2 linked regions of the Lepisosteus oculatus genome follow. The protein of the gene in region 1 purifies or fractionates together with the protein of each later gene. This does not show direct contact. Links are inferred from orthologs where the notes say so. Each region holds a gene or a part of one and is shown on either strand. Other genes may lie near its edges.

Region 1 (7,058 bases):
TGTTCACTGTTTTTTCTTTTGGGGGGAAAAGATACCTCCTTCCCCTTCAATATACTTCAGTTTATTTTTATTTACTTCACTAATGTAGACGTGGTGGACCACTGATGGCAGAGGTGATTTTTTTCACGTTGGTTGTTTTGCTACGGACTGTTCATGAATTCGGTATTTAAGTTTATGCCTCCGTTTAAGAGCTACGCCAGCGTACAGGACAGTATACTTGATGTCACGCAGATGAGGCTGGCTGTCTTCCCTTCTCGACCTTTGTCTCCTTAGTGTAACAGCTGTGAAAGACAGGCGAGGGTGGGGCGGGCCCTTAGTTTTATAAGCGCAGCCTGCCCACTGGGCCCCGCCTCTTTTCCCCTGACAAAAGGAAAAAACGTCACGGACGGAACTTCCATATATGGCGGCGGGCGCTCTTTGTCGGCGAGCCATATATGGTTAGTGGCGTCATCGCTCTTGCCAGGCCTGCCAGCACGTGGAGCTCTGGGGATACCCCCCCCGCCCCGTGTACGCGTGTGTGTGATTTGATGACATCAGCAGTCGGCGGACAAGCGGCAGCAGCAGATTTTCGTAATAAAATCCCCGGTAATTAAACTGTGGGCTTCTTAAAAACGAGCCCGATTTCTCATAAAACGACTTCCACTGAATCACGGCTGATTCACCCCAATGCCTTTTTCTTCCTTTATTTTTTTGGAGGTAGTGCGATAGAGGAACATGGTTCAGGTCCAGGTTTCCCAGTGTCAGGGTAGATGTTCTGTAGAATAAGGGGGTGGTGGTGAGTTTTTCCTAAATTCTTTCTCTGTTTTCTTTGACCAAGTGCCTAACCCACTAACTCATGTCCGTTAGAAAACTGAATCCACCTCCTCCACAAACCTTCAATAACCCATATTCCATCCACTGACCCTTGTTCCCCATTTGTTTAAAGTGGGGGGTCTTGTTAATGTTTCCCCGACCCAGGTATGTGTGTATGAAGGGGCATGATTCTGGCTAGGTCCTTTTTGAAATCCCCCTTCACCTTGACCACTGTTAGACAAGGAGGGACTGTAAAACATGAACCACAACTGGAAAGTACAGAGAAGTGCATTGGGAACAGGAGGCACTTCTTTACGCAAAGGGTGGTGGGAGTATGGAGAAAGCTACCCAGCCATGTTATTGAAGCCATTAGCCCGGCTTATTTCGGGAAGGATGAGACCCTCTGATTGGATCGGGTGGCACATCTTTGCATCTTTACACAAAGGGTGGTGGGAGTATGGAACAAGTCACCCGGCCGTGTTGTTAAAACCGGTACGCTGGCTACTTTCACAAAAAGGGTGGATGAGATCCTCAGATCAATTAGCTACTAATGACCACATGGGCCGAATGGCCTCTCGTTTGTACCTGTTCCCACACAAGCCGATGAGAGGCATTAGCTACTAGCAATCTAAACGAGTGGGAGGCGTTGAGCAGCCTCCTCTCTTGCTTACCTGCCTGGAGTCTGTGGATACGTCCCTGTGGGTCTGTGTGCAGGGGAACTCCCTGGTGGGAGGGTGTGTCAGTCATTGGATCACCCGCACATCCTACCAGAACTCTCTCCTCCTCCCTCCCTCCCCCTTCTTCCTGCTGCCCTCTCCAGATCCTTCCCTCTGCCCTTCTCGCACTCCATCGCCCTCTCCCTTTCTCCTCTCGGCACGCACTCTGCCAGTTGGCTAGTGACCACGGATTTTAACACCCCCCTCTTCGGAAGCAGCAAACCCTCCAGATTAGAGCAGAAAAATCTCCAGGCAGTAATCTAAACTCAGACCCAGAGGAAAGGGCCAGTTACCCCATCTTTCAGTCTGTTAATCTGGGCTCAGCCTGGCCAGTCACATGGGCAAGCACTGCTTAGCCGTGTTCAGCAGATGTTGTGTGCTTGTGTATTGTGCAGGATGAGCTAAGCAGTGTTGAGCAGTGTAATGCGTGTGTAGAATGTGATCAGCAGTAGAATGTGTGTATTTGTGTGTGCAGAACATGTCCACAGGTGTTCGGCAGGGTAATGTGTGTGTAGATGTACAGTATGTGTCTGTGTCAGTGTATGCAGAATGTGCCCACAAGTGTTGAGCAGTAGATTGTGCGGACAGGTTGCATATGAAGTGTTGTGCAACTATACTGTGTCTAGAGGCTTGTCCTTCCCAGGGGAGCTCATTTAAACACGATGCTCCTCCGTGAGTCACGTGATCATCACAGCGATGAAAACAGATAAATATAGATATATATGTTATACATAAACAGAGCTGCAGCCTGGTACTGTGTGTGATCTCCTGGTGCAGCCTGAGGAACAGAGAGGGAGCCTCTCAATAATAATAAAGACATTGTCCTCAATGTAAATGTTTACCGATTGTTACTGTTTAGGCAGCATTGAAATCCATCACAAATGCCATTAAAGCTTTTTAAATACACGAGTATATTACATGAATACGTATCAAACGCATATTTTCGGCCCATTTTAGAGTATAGGAAGCAGGCTGGCCTGTGGACCGGGGGACTTGCAGACAGTGTGCCGGGTTCATTAACAGCAGCAGCCAGTGCTGTTGGAGTGCGTGTCTGTGTGTGCGGGGAGTGGGGGTGGAGAGGTTAAAGCAGATATCCAGGAAGTCACAGGCACACCGAAAAGAAGAATAAAAACAGAGGGTGACGCAGACATGTTCCGTTGCCTGCGCTCAGACGCAAGTGTGCAGGGGCGATGTCAGTGGGAGGATGTCGTTGTGTGTGTAAAGAGACTCGATGTGCCCGCGTCTGTGTGTGTACATGTTTGCCCACCACCTGTGGGATATCCTGTTCATGTGAGTCTGTCCTACAGGTGTCTATAAATAGCTGCAGGCTTTAGTTCCAGGAAACAGTGATGAACAGGTTGTGTAAAGCACTTAGGAGCTAACAAAGGTGGGAAACCAGTAAGACGCTGGTAAGATCTGCCCATTACAAGTGCTCTTGATCCTGCGTAATCCAGTATGTATTCCCGTATCCCTTGTACCTTTATATCTGTACATTCCTGGCATATATTCATGTGTTTTGAGACAGTAGATTGTGTAGACAGTAGATTGTGTGTGTGGAGTGTGTCCGGCGGTGTGAGACAGTAGATTGTGTGTGTGGAGTGTGTCCGGCGGTGTGAGACAGTAGATTGTGTGTGTCCAGCAGTGTGAGAGAGTAGATTGTGTGTCCGGCGGTGTGAGACAGTAGATTGTGTGTGTGGAGTGTGTCCGGCGGTGTGAGACAGTAGATTGTGTGTGTCCAGCAGTGTGAGACAGTAGATTGTGTGTGTGGAGTGTGTCCAGCGGTGTGAGACAGTAGATTGTGTGTGTCCAGCAGTTTGAGACAGTAGATTGTGTGTGTGGAGTGTGTCCGGCGGTGTGAGACAGTAGATTGTGTGTGTCCAGCAGTGTGAGACAGTAGATTGTGTGTGTGGAGTGTGTCCGGCAGTGTGAGACAGTAGATTGTGTGTGTGGAGTGTGTCCGGCAGTGTGAAACAGTAGATTGTGTGTGTGGAGTGTGTCCAGCGGTGTGAGACAGTAGATTGTGTGTGTGGAGTGCGTCCGGAAGTGTGAGACAGTAGATTGTGTGTGTGGAGTGTGTCCGGCGGTGTGAGACAGTAGATTGTGTGTGTGGAGTGTGTCCGGCGGTGTGAGACAGTAGATTGTGTGTGTGGAGTGTGTCCGGCGGTGTGAGACAGTAGATTGTGTGTGTCCAGCAGTGTGAGACAGTAGATTGTGTGTGTGGAGTGTGTCCGGCGGTGTGAGACAGTAGATTGTGTGTGTGGAGTGTGTCCGGCGGTGTGAGACAGTAGATTGTGTGTGTCCAGCAGTGTGAGACAGTAGATTGTGTGTGTGGAGTGCGTCCGGAAGTGTGAGACAGTAGATTGTGTGTGTGGAGTGTGTCCGGCGGTGTGAGACAGTAGATTGTGTGTGTGGAGTGTGTCCGGCAGTGTGAGACAGTAGATTGTGTGTGTGGAGTGTGTCTGGTGGTGTGAGACAGTAGATTGTGTGTGTCCAGCAGTGTGAGACAGTAGATTGTGTGTGTGAAGTGTGTCCGGCGGTGTGAGACAGTAGATTGTGTGTGTCCAGCAGTGTGAGACAGTAGATTGTGTGTGTGAAGTCTGTCCGGCGGTGTGAGACAGTAGATTGTGTGTGTGGAGTGTGTCCAGCAGTGTGAGACAGTAGATTGTGTGTGTGGAGTGCGTCCGGAAGTGTGAGACAGTAGATTGTGTGTGTGGAGTGTGTCCAGCGGTGTGAGACAGTAGATTGTGTGTGTGGAGTGTGTCCGGCGGTGTGAGACAGTAGATTGTGTGTGTGGAGTGTGTCCGGCGGTGTGAGACAGTAGATTGTGTGTGTGGAGTGTGTCCGGCGGTGTGAGACAGTAGATTGTGTGTGTGGAGTGTGTCCAGCAGTGTGAGACAGTAGATTGTGTGCGTGGAGTGTGTCCGGCGGTGTGAGACAGTAGGTTGTGTGTGTCCAGCAGTGTGAGACAGTAGATTGTGTGTGTGGAGTGTGTCCGGCGGTGTGAGACAGTAGATTGTGTGTGTCCAGCGGTGTGAGACAGTAGATTGTGTGTGTGGAGTGTGTCCGGCGGTGTGAGACAGTAGATTGTGTGTGTGGAGTGTGTCCGGCGGTGTGAGACAGTAGATTGTGTGTGTTTGGCAGTGTGAGACAGTAGATTGTGTGTGTGGAGTGTGTTTGGCAGTGTGAGACAGTAGATTGTGTGTGTGGAGTGTGTCCGGCGGTGTGAGACAGTAGATTGTGTGTGTGGAGTGTGTTTGGCAGTGTGAGACAGTAGATTGTGTGTGTGGAGTGTGTCCGGCGGTGTGAGACAGTAGATTGTGTGTGTGGAGTGTGTCCGGCGGTGTTGCACACTACAATGTGTGGGAGACGTGTGGGTGACTTTGGGACACATCAGAAGGGGGGATTTAGGGGGTGGTGTGGGAGCACACAAAGAGGTCTGGACTAATCAGGAGAGAGAGGGGGTGCTGTGTAGGGGTTTATTGCAGAATGCGCACAGTACGTCTGCTTGACATCTAGTTTTATTATTTTTTTTCCAAAGGCTTCGCTATAGTTTTCTCTTTTTTGTGGATAGGTTTAAAACACTAGTTTTACGGCACATTGCTATAGTTTACTGTTGAAAACGATGGGTTTTACTACACATTGGTATTCGTTACTTTGTTTAAATCATGATTTTACAGCACATTGCTTCTCTTTACTTAGTTTCACTGCACTTTGCTACAGTGTACTGTGATTTATGACATATTAATCGTGTACCACAGCAAATTTACAACGGAAATGTGCTGTGACTCACCTTCAGACCTCTGTTTTGCGCTCGGGCTGACTCAAAACCAGAGCTGTGTCCCTTTGTATCTACCATGCTGTCTCCTTTCTGCAGCCTGAGATCACCCGTGGGTGAGACGGGAGCTTTCTGCCCTCCTCCAGCTTTCTCACTCACACTCTTCCTCCACCCACTCTCTCATTCTCTTCTCCTCCCTGGCTCGGTCCCCCAAACACTCCTTTATGAGCAGGACAGATCAATCACTGTAGCATTGTGGGTTCACAGTTAGCAATCATTTCTAATCGTGGCAACCAAGCAATTCGTGTTTGCAGCTTAAAAGGAAAAGCTAAGAGAGAATTAAAAAGGTTTTAGCTGCATCTGATATGTGGTTGCAAGGAAAATAAAGTCATTCATCAACAGAAATATATAAAAAAGGTATTTATCACAAAACAAATATTTATAGGGATCAATTTTGTACTCCATTGCCAGACGTCATTCTGTCACCCACATCTCCCTGCTCTCTCAACCCTGTGTCTTTGTGCTCCCTTTCCTCTCTCTCTCGTTCCCTCTATCTCACTTCAATTCAAAGGTATTTTATCAGCCTAGCTAATAACATCACTGCGGCCAAAGGTATTACACAATTCAACAGTCCATCCGGTCTGAACAGTTTTCCGTCTCTGTCTCGCCCTTCTCTCTCTTCCTCTCAATCCACTGCCTCCCTCCTTTCTTCTGGCCTTTTCTTAATCTCATTCAGAATCCAGTATGAACTCACTCCGGCTTTCTCACTCACGATATGATAGCTTCCTCATCTCCCTCCTCTCCCCCAGCCTCAACCAGGGCAGAATGGGGCCTCCTGAGTTACTCAACCAGTAAAGCAGGTTCGAACCTGGGTCCTGTAACTAGCTGATCGTGACCCAGGTTCTCCAAGTCATGCATTAGGGCTCTCAGTGTTATCAGCGAGGAACCCACCTTTCCACCAATCAGCTTTGATCCTCCTGTATGGGGCTGTGCTTCCTGTGACGCGTTAAAAGATGATTGGCTGAAAGGTGGGCACGTGGGAAGAGTCGGTTTACACTTCCTCATTTTCCCCGTGTACGGTCTTGGGATTTATAGCGGCGATTCCAAATTGCTTGAGACAGGATATCAATGCACTTTGAGAGAGCTATGAGACACCTGTCTGCTGGCTGCTCTCCTGTTGATGATCATTAGGACTGGGAAAGTCTGGCCAAGGAATCTGGTCTCTTTCTGTCCACAGAGCTGCCTGGACTTCAACTTTAACTGCCTTGCAGAACTTGAATACCTTTAGCCTGATCTGGGCTTTCGATCAAGCAGTGTGGGACTTTCAGAGCACAAAACTGTTTTTATCTCTCTGGTTCTATTATCAGAGAATTTATAGATTTTGCTTAATATTAGATTTTTTAGCATTTAACAGACTTCATTTAAATATCTATTGGTACAGTGTTTTTTTGTATTATATCTGAACTTTTTTTATCACTCAACAGTAGTTTTAAAGCTCTGAAGCTTCTGCGATACGTTAAGTGCTGTTAAGAGTGTGGTAGGAATGTCAGATTTGTCACTTTTTGTTAATAAAGCTTGGAAGAAGTGAAATGCCTCCCTCTCTTACTCCCTTTCACGGTTTTCCACCATTCTCTGCTCCCCACCCCCACTTTCTCTTCCTCTGCCTGGGGCTGTGCATCTCGCGCACTGATACAGGAAGAGGCTGGCTGACTTCCTGTGACACAGGTAGTGGAGGCGTTCTGCTCATCAGTTCCATTGTCGCGGCAACCGCTGAG
Region 2 (7,058 bases), on another chromosome or scaffold:
CAATCATTTCGCGATTTTCATACTCCTATCCAAGATGCTCCCAGATTGCATCTCTGCAGAGCATCAACGAGAAACGTTCCCCAGCATCCACAGCAATGAAGGACCTGCGTACTTCCTGCGAGCACATTTCACAGAACCTCCATCACTTCAAGATTACTCATTTGACAACCCCCCACACTGTATATCCCTTTGTTTTTGTTGCAGTGAAGCATGCATTCTATCAACACCCTCAGCTTCCTGCTCAGATAACACATGCACTGCGCCTGCCAGTGCTCTCTTAGCTAGTTGGATCTCTCATTTTCTTCCGCTTGGATGCAAAGTAAGGTCTAACGAAAAGAGATCTGGCAAAGCAGGCTGCGAGACCGCACAGGTCATGGGCATTTGCACACAGAAGGCAGACAAAACCTCTGGAGTCTCTTTACGTCCTAAGATGCAATTATCTTCATCAAAAGGAGGGAGGTATCAGTTCAGGCAGTCGATATCTCATTTGCTTTTAACGCTGAGCCTCCTCATAAATGCCACCAAAGATGGACGCTCTCAGCAACTTAGATGTACAGCAGGCAGCTGGTAAATAAAACCCACTGGACGACAGAAAGGTTCAAACAAGGCTGTGTATAATAGGATCATTGCTTAATTTCCTGTCTCTACATCTGATAAATCCTGGTTTCTTTAACCACTGAGCAGCACCCTGCACACCAGCGGTTTCTAACGCATCACTCAGAAGAGTTAAGGAGCGAAGATAAAATTGATATTACGCACCTGAAAGGACAAAAAGTGAAAATCTCATTTCAAGGCAGAACTGGTCATCTAAGTCCCGAATTTTTTTTAATTTTAAAATTTTGAGGCTCTTGCATCTTATTGGGGACTCTACTGTGCTGCACAGAATATGCATACGCACTGCATCAGGAAAAGGAATCTGAACTTCGGGAACACCTGTGACGGCCGGACTAATGAAGAGGCCAGAGCATTCTCACACAACGCCACACCTGTGGCACGATGCACGAACTCCACAAACCGCACCCTTCCCCTTTCACAAAGCAAAACCGCTGACACATTCTCCTACCCTTCTATTCACTAGGAACCGATTGCAACACAGCTGCGAAGGACCAAAACATTATTACCTGACGGGTCTGCTTTGATTCATTCAGTTTGTGGGGGTATAAATCGCGCTCCTGTCTGCTGAACTAGGTAGGCCCGTCCCTCTTCCTATAAATATCGCTAGGCGTGGCTTAACTGCGTGGTACAGAGTGATATCGCTTGTGGCGATCTGCACTCACTCCGGGAAAAGGGACTTGTTTCAAAGGCGTTCTCGATAAACCCAGCCCCTTCTTCCAAATCACTAGGGTGAACAGTTTTTGTAAAAAATAAAAACAAAAACAAAATTCGCCCGGAACCGGCATCGCTGTGACCCCGGCGGCCGTCTCGACTCCGGCACAGGAAGCCGAGCTGCGCCGAGACCCCTCTGGGTTCGGGTGGGCAGCCGGGGGCACCGGCGCGCACACGCACACGCCCCGCGGACACGGGCGGACATTCCGCCGCGCTCCGCGCGAGAGCTCCCCGCAGCTCGTGACGCCGGGCCGCCAATCAGCACCTTCCCATTCCCATGAATTGCCGCTCGCGCTGGAGATCGCCTTACCTGCAACTCGGAAAATGCAACAAGCGATCTCTCCGAGGGGGGGTGGGATTCAACTCTTAGATGCCCCAACGAGGGGATGCCGCCAAGTGTGACACCCTATACCCCACAGCGACGCAGCAAACGACGAGCCTCGCCCTCCTCCAAGGGGGAAAGAGGCAGCGATTTATGCGCTATCAACTGAACACACTGATTGATAAGGCGGGACACGGGGAGATGCTCGTTCCCAGAAACGGCGCACATCTGGATAAAACTACCCCCCCCCCCCCCCCCCCGACTGGATCGCCCACTGCCCGGCTGTCAAAACTTGGGGTGTGCTTTCCATAGGTATTGGGCTTCAAGCCGCTAACGGATATCAATAATGCGCGTTTACCGGGAAACGCGACGTCGTCAAGTAACATTTCAGCATTTGTTGTTTAATAAAGATGTTGTTGTTTAATAAACAACACGGCGGACACAAGCAGCAATGATATAGCACCCGAGAGTTCGAGCCGGCTCCAAGCACAGGCGGCTCCGAGTTGTAATCCGCTAGCTACACCCCTTACGGCAAAGGGTGTTGCCCTTCTCTGCATTGAAAAGTGAAAATCAATGACACATCGGAACAAAAAAAAACCCAACATTCCCAATCCGGCTCTCGCAGACCTCTCTCTCTCTCACTCTCGGGGTCCGTCAGCCTCACGGCTCCATCAACAAGTACGACGGCGGCGAGTCCCGACACCGAGCGAGCTTCCCCGACAGCGCGGACGGAGAAAAACCGTAAAAAAAAAAACTTTGCATGCATGTGTAGCACGAACTGAGTTTCCCCCCTCTCCTCCGCCGGCAGGTCTGGAGCCTCTCTCGCCCGGCCGTGCACACAGCACCCAGCGCCGAGAGACTCAAGACACCGCGGCCGTGGCGTCCAGCCCCCCCGGCCCCCGAACACAACTTACCACACCATGCCGTAGGCCCCCTCGCCGATATAGGACAGGTTGCTGTAGCGGGGACCCACATCGAAGGCCTGTCCACGGACCAGCTCGGCTCCCGATCCGGTGTTGGGGGCGCCGCCTGCAGCACCAGATACCGCGGCTGTCGCCATTGTTAACTAGCTGCCCACACACACACGCAGAAGGATGGGTGGGAGAAGAGGAAAAAAAACAGAAAATCTGGGAAGAAAAAGTCCTAGCTACGAGGAAGGGGAAGGGGCCGGAAAAAAAAAACCTGAACAAACGAGCTTTCAGTCCCAGGAGCCGAAGAAACCGTACGGCCTGTTGATCGCCTGTCAGGATGGTGAGAGGGAGGGGGAGACGAGCCGTGGATTACTTTGCTACAGTCTAGCAACCTTGTAGACTCGCCCGCAGACTGCGGCAGGCAGGCAGCTCCACTGCAGGAAATAACGGGCTGGTCATGTGACCGGGGAGCGCAGGGGCGAGAGCGAGGACTCGGTCACGTGAGGGGGGTGCGCTTGCGCCGCGGGGACGGGGGAGCCTGTCACGCCGGCTGGGGGTCTCTGGTCTTCTCGGACAGACAGCAAGGGACTGCTCGGCTCTGGAGCAACCAGGAGCTGAATCAATTATTGTTTTTTTTTTGCAACTGGACAGGAGCCGATTCTAATTGATGGCCCAATCCAGAGTTCAAGATTTAATTCATGGAAGAGCAGAGTTGCTGTACAAAAGTGCATTTAAACTGTCCCGGAGTCTCTTTGACAACTATGTTTTTGTATCGCTTTTATTTTCTGTTTCCCTGAAATCATATTGCATATGAGAATTCCGTTCGTATATCCGAATTAATGATTTCTGTTAGAATTGTTTTCATTTGGAGATGGACTGCACGAACACTGCATTTTGTAGTTATCTTTACGCGTACAGCGGGTGATGGTTTTCGCCAGTGAGAAACGATAATACAGCGTAAAAAAAAAAGAAGATGTGATTCAATCTGATAACGCCACTTTTTAATCTGTCAGATCTGGGCAGGGCGGAGTCAAGCCGCCGATGATACACAGTGAGATCAACCGCAAGACCTGCGGGAGCGGTCAATGATATCTAAAAAAAAAGGCCAAGAAAATCCTGTCGTTTGGCACCGATGGAAATGCAACAGAGCCCACTGCAGAGATTTCCCCCAGTTCGTCATCCCCCCAGAGTGACACAAGAGGATCTGCTTTGCCCGAAGTCGCAGGAAACGTGACTCAGAGAAAATGATTACACGGCCCTTTCGGAGCCTGTAAACACGAGCTGGTTCCTACACACCGCCGCCACCCGCCTGTCGGACGGAGAGATCTGCAAAAAAGACATCAGAAGGCATAAAAAAAATCGGGGAGCGTTTCCTCTGTCGTTCTCGGTTTTGTCTGGAATGGCCAGTTCAGCCCTGTAGCAGTTGGTTGCTAGTAAGAATCTAACTTAGAGAAGGAAACCAGTAGAGAATTTAGTATGTTTCGTGTTTTATCATGCCTGGGATTTACCTCGTTATTTAAAATGAAAAGCGTTACTAAAGTATATAATTTAACTATTACTTGCGCCGTGGCAGTGAAACTATAAGCGCATTTGTGCCAAAGAAGTTCACTTTGAAAAGTGGCTCCTTGAAGCCGTTTGATTTGTCTTTTCTTATAGAGGGGAGACTCCTGGGAAAGCTGAGGCTGGAAGAGGTGTTAGTGGGAGCAGTAGGGGGCGCTCACCCTGCGGTCTGTGTGTGTCCTAATGCCCCAGTACAGTGACGGGGACAATCTACTGAAAAAAGCCACCGTCCTTAAGATGAGACATAAAACCCAGGTCCCAACTCTCTGTGGTCATTAAATATCCCAGGGTGTTTCTCGAAAAGAGTAGGGGTGTTACCCTTGTGTCCTGGCCAAATTTCCCCCTGGCCTTTACCCATCATGGCCTCTTAATAATCCCCATCTCTGAACTGGCTCCATCACTCTGCTCTCCTCCCAATTTAGCTCCTGTGTGTGGGGAGTGTACTGGTGCACTCTGGCTGCTGTCGCATCATCCGGGTGGGGCTGCACACTGGTGGTGGAGTTACCTGTAAAGTGCTTTAAGTGGAGTTTCTTAAAACTGATGAGGATGCGCGGATACTCACGGATATTCGGAGTAGGCGATTACTGCTGTCTCATTTACTGCCACCTTGTGGTTTAACTTCGTAATAACATCTCAATGACCCCGTCAAAAGGTTACGTGTGTGAAAGACGCAAAACGACCTCTTGAACCGAAGTCGTTTCACCAGAAGACCTGAGCTAAACAATCAAGATGACCAATTATGGATAATTATTACCGTAACTTTCTTCCACTCGTGTAACGTTATTTAAGACACTGTCTGAAGCTGAAATATTCTTACCTTTTAGTCACGATCAGTGACTAATGTCGTGCCTCACCAAATGAAATATCTTTGAAAGTATTGAATAGGCTACAGTATTCTCAGAAATCTGGCTTAAGCATGTGCCTTTTATGCCTCAGGTTGGGGGTTCGAACCCAGCTGTCAAACTGAGATTTCTTTAGGCGTGGAGTGGTGGCTTTGTGGTGAAGGATCTGTGCTTGTAGCTGTGCTTGCTGGCTCAAATCCTATGGCTGGCAGAGAAATCCCACTGTGTTGGGTGCCCGAGCAAGGCCCTTAACCCCAACTGCTCCTGGGGTGGCGTATAAATGGCTGACCCTGCGCTCTGACCCCAAGCTTCTCTCCCTGTCTGTGTGTCTCATGGAGAGCAAGCTGGGGTTTCTGAAAAGACAAATTCCTAATGCAAGAAATTGTAGATGGCTAAAAAAAAATGATCTTATGTTATCTTATTCTCCCACTCAAATCTTAGACAGATGACTCCAGGTTATCTGAAACATTTGCCACAATCCTTCATCTTAATTTGAGATTCTTACTCTGCTCAAATCCAGGCTCCCCACAGTACATGATGCTCTGCATCAGTAAAAGGCACTGCCCAAATCCATCAGAGACTGCCCATTTCAGAACTTATTTAAAGACCTATCCCGCTGTTAAAGCTTGTGTTGTGGAATGTGGTTGTACTCTCTGAGTCACTGGGTGAATTTGTCATGATTTGTGTCTTATTACTCCACTGTGCACCACTTTTTTTTTAGTTTCCTGAGGTGATTCACAAAATTTCATTATTTTATACCAAAAGCAACTTCTCTGACTTGGACATTTGAAAGAGACCTAATTAACCACTAGAAAGCTGCTGCTGGGGACAGAACTAGAGAACTGCTGGTGAAGGTTACTGACTCTTACAAATCGTAAATGGTGGTATCCCTTAAACTGTAAGGACAGAAAGAAGGGGGCACAATTTGACCCATCTAGTTTGATTTGACAAAGCTAATTGCGCTGATGAACTCATCCATTTCTTATCTATGAAGCCAGGGCATTGGCTTCAGCACAACGTGTGGGTAGTTTGTTCCAGACCCCCACCATCCTTGGTGTACAGTGCCTCCAGTTCTTAATTGTAAATGTACTCCCTGTTAGTTTCCACTTGTGTCTGTTGGTTTGTGGTGATGCTTAGTGAATGAGTGAGGTACAGCATGGTGAAAGCACATTGAATTGTTTAACCATAGGTACAGTGGTCAGCACTGCTGCCTGGCTATGGTGGACCCTGGGTTCAGTTCCTCCTTCTGTCATTCCAGGCTGGGATACCATCAGCTGGGAGTTTGTATGTTCTCTCCATGTGCACACACTTTTTTTTCTCTCACAGTCCAAATTAACCTGAAAAGTAAATTGGGTTTTGGGAAACGTGGCCCTGGTGTGTGTGCATGTCCATTTGCGTCTGTCTGCCCCGCGATGGACCGGCATCTCATCTCGGGTGTATCCTGCCTTGCACCTGTTGCTTATCGGGATAAACCCCAGCTCCCCTGTGACCCTGGACTGGATCAAGTGGTTCGAAGATGGATGGAGAGCAACACATGATCTACAGCTGCCTGGCGTTGTAATATCATCCTGCAGCTCACAGCTGGCAGCCCACTGGAGCTCAGCAGGTGTGAGCCTGGCCAGTACCTGGAAGGGAGACTCCTTTTCAAGCTAAGGTTTCTACTGGAAGAGGTGTTAGTGCTCATCCTGCGGTCTGTGTGGGTCCTAATGCCCCAGTGTAGTGACAGGGACACTATACTATAAAAAGGCACCGTCTTTCAGACGAGATGTAAAACCGAGGTCCTGACTCTCTGTGGTCATTAAACATCTCAGGGCGTTTCTTGAAAAGAGTAGGGGTGTAACCCTGGCGTCCTGGCCAAATTACCCCCTGGCCTTTACCAATCGTGGCCTCCTAATAATCCCCATCTCTGAACTGGTTCATCTCTCTGCTCTCCTTCCCACTGAGAGCTGGTGTGTGGGGGGCAGACTGGCGCATCATCCAGGTGGGGCTGCACACTGGTGGTGGTTGAGGGGATCCCCATTACCTGTAATGCGCTTTGAGTGGAGTGTCCAGAAAAAAGCTACATACGATATATATAACTTACACTTATATACCTGC

What was found. Proteins that work in one complex are often made in the same cells at the same time.
Region 2: the proteins of dusp2 (region 1) and mapk1 purify together in Homo sapiens (affinity purification with mass spectrometry; 4 studies listed by BioGRID and IntAct, with this or other methods). This does not show direct contact. The link is inferred for Lepisosteus oculatus from reciprocal best matches to the Homo sapiens genes DUSP2 and MAPK1.

The regions. Positions count from the first base shown.
Region 1 is NC_090697.1:65,321,991-65,329,048, reverse strand, and holds the start of dusp2 (dual specificity protein phosphatase 2), read right to left. Parts: upstream 3,026-7,058; 5' UTR 1-3,025. UniProt on the Homo sapiens protein: Dephosphorylates both phosphorylated Thr and Tyr residues in MAPK1, and dephosphorylation of phosphotyrosine is slightly faster than that of phosphothreonine. Can dephosphorylate MAPK1.
Region 2 is NC_090717.1:1,962,760-1,969,817, forward strand, and holds the start of mapk1 (mitogen-activated protein kinase 1), read right to left. Parts: upstream 3,012-7,058; 5' UTR 2,709-3,011; coding exon 2,563-2,708; intron 1,432-2,562; exon of another isoform or gene 1,145-1,431; coding exon of another isoform or gene 1,122-1,144; intron 1-1,121. UniProt on the Homo sapiens protein: Serine/threonine kinase which acts as an essential component of the MAP kinase signal transduction pathway. MAPK1/ERK2 and MAPK3/ERK1 are the 2 MAPKs which play an important role in the MAPK/ERK cascade.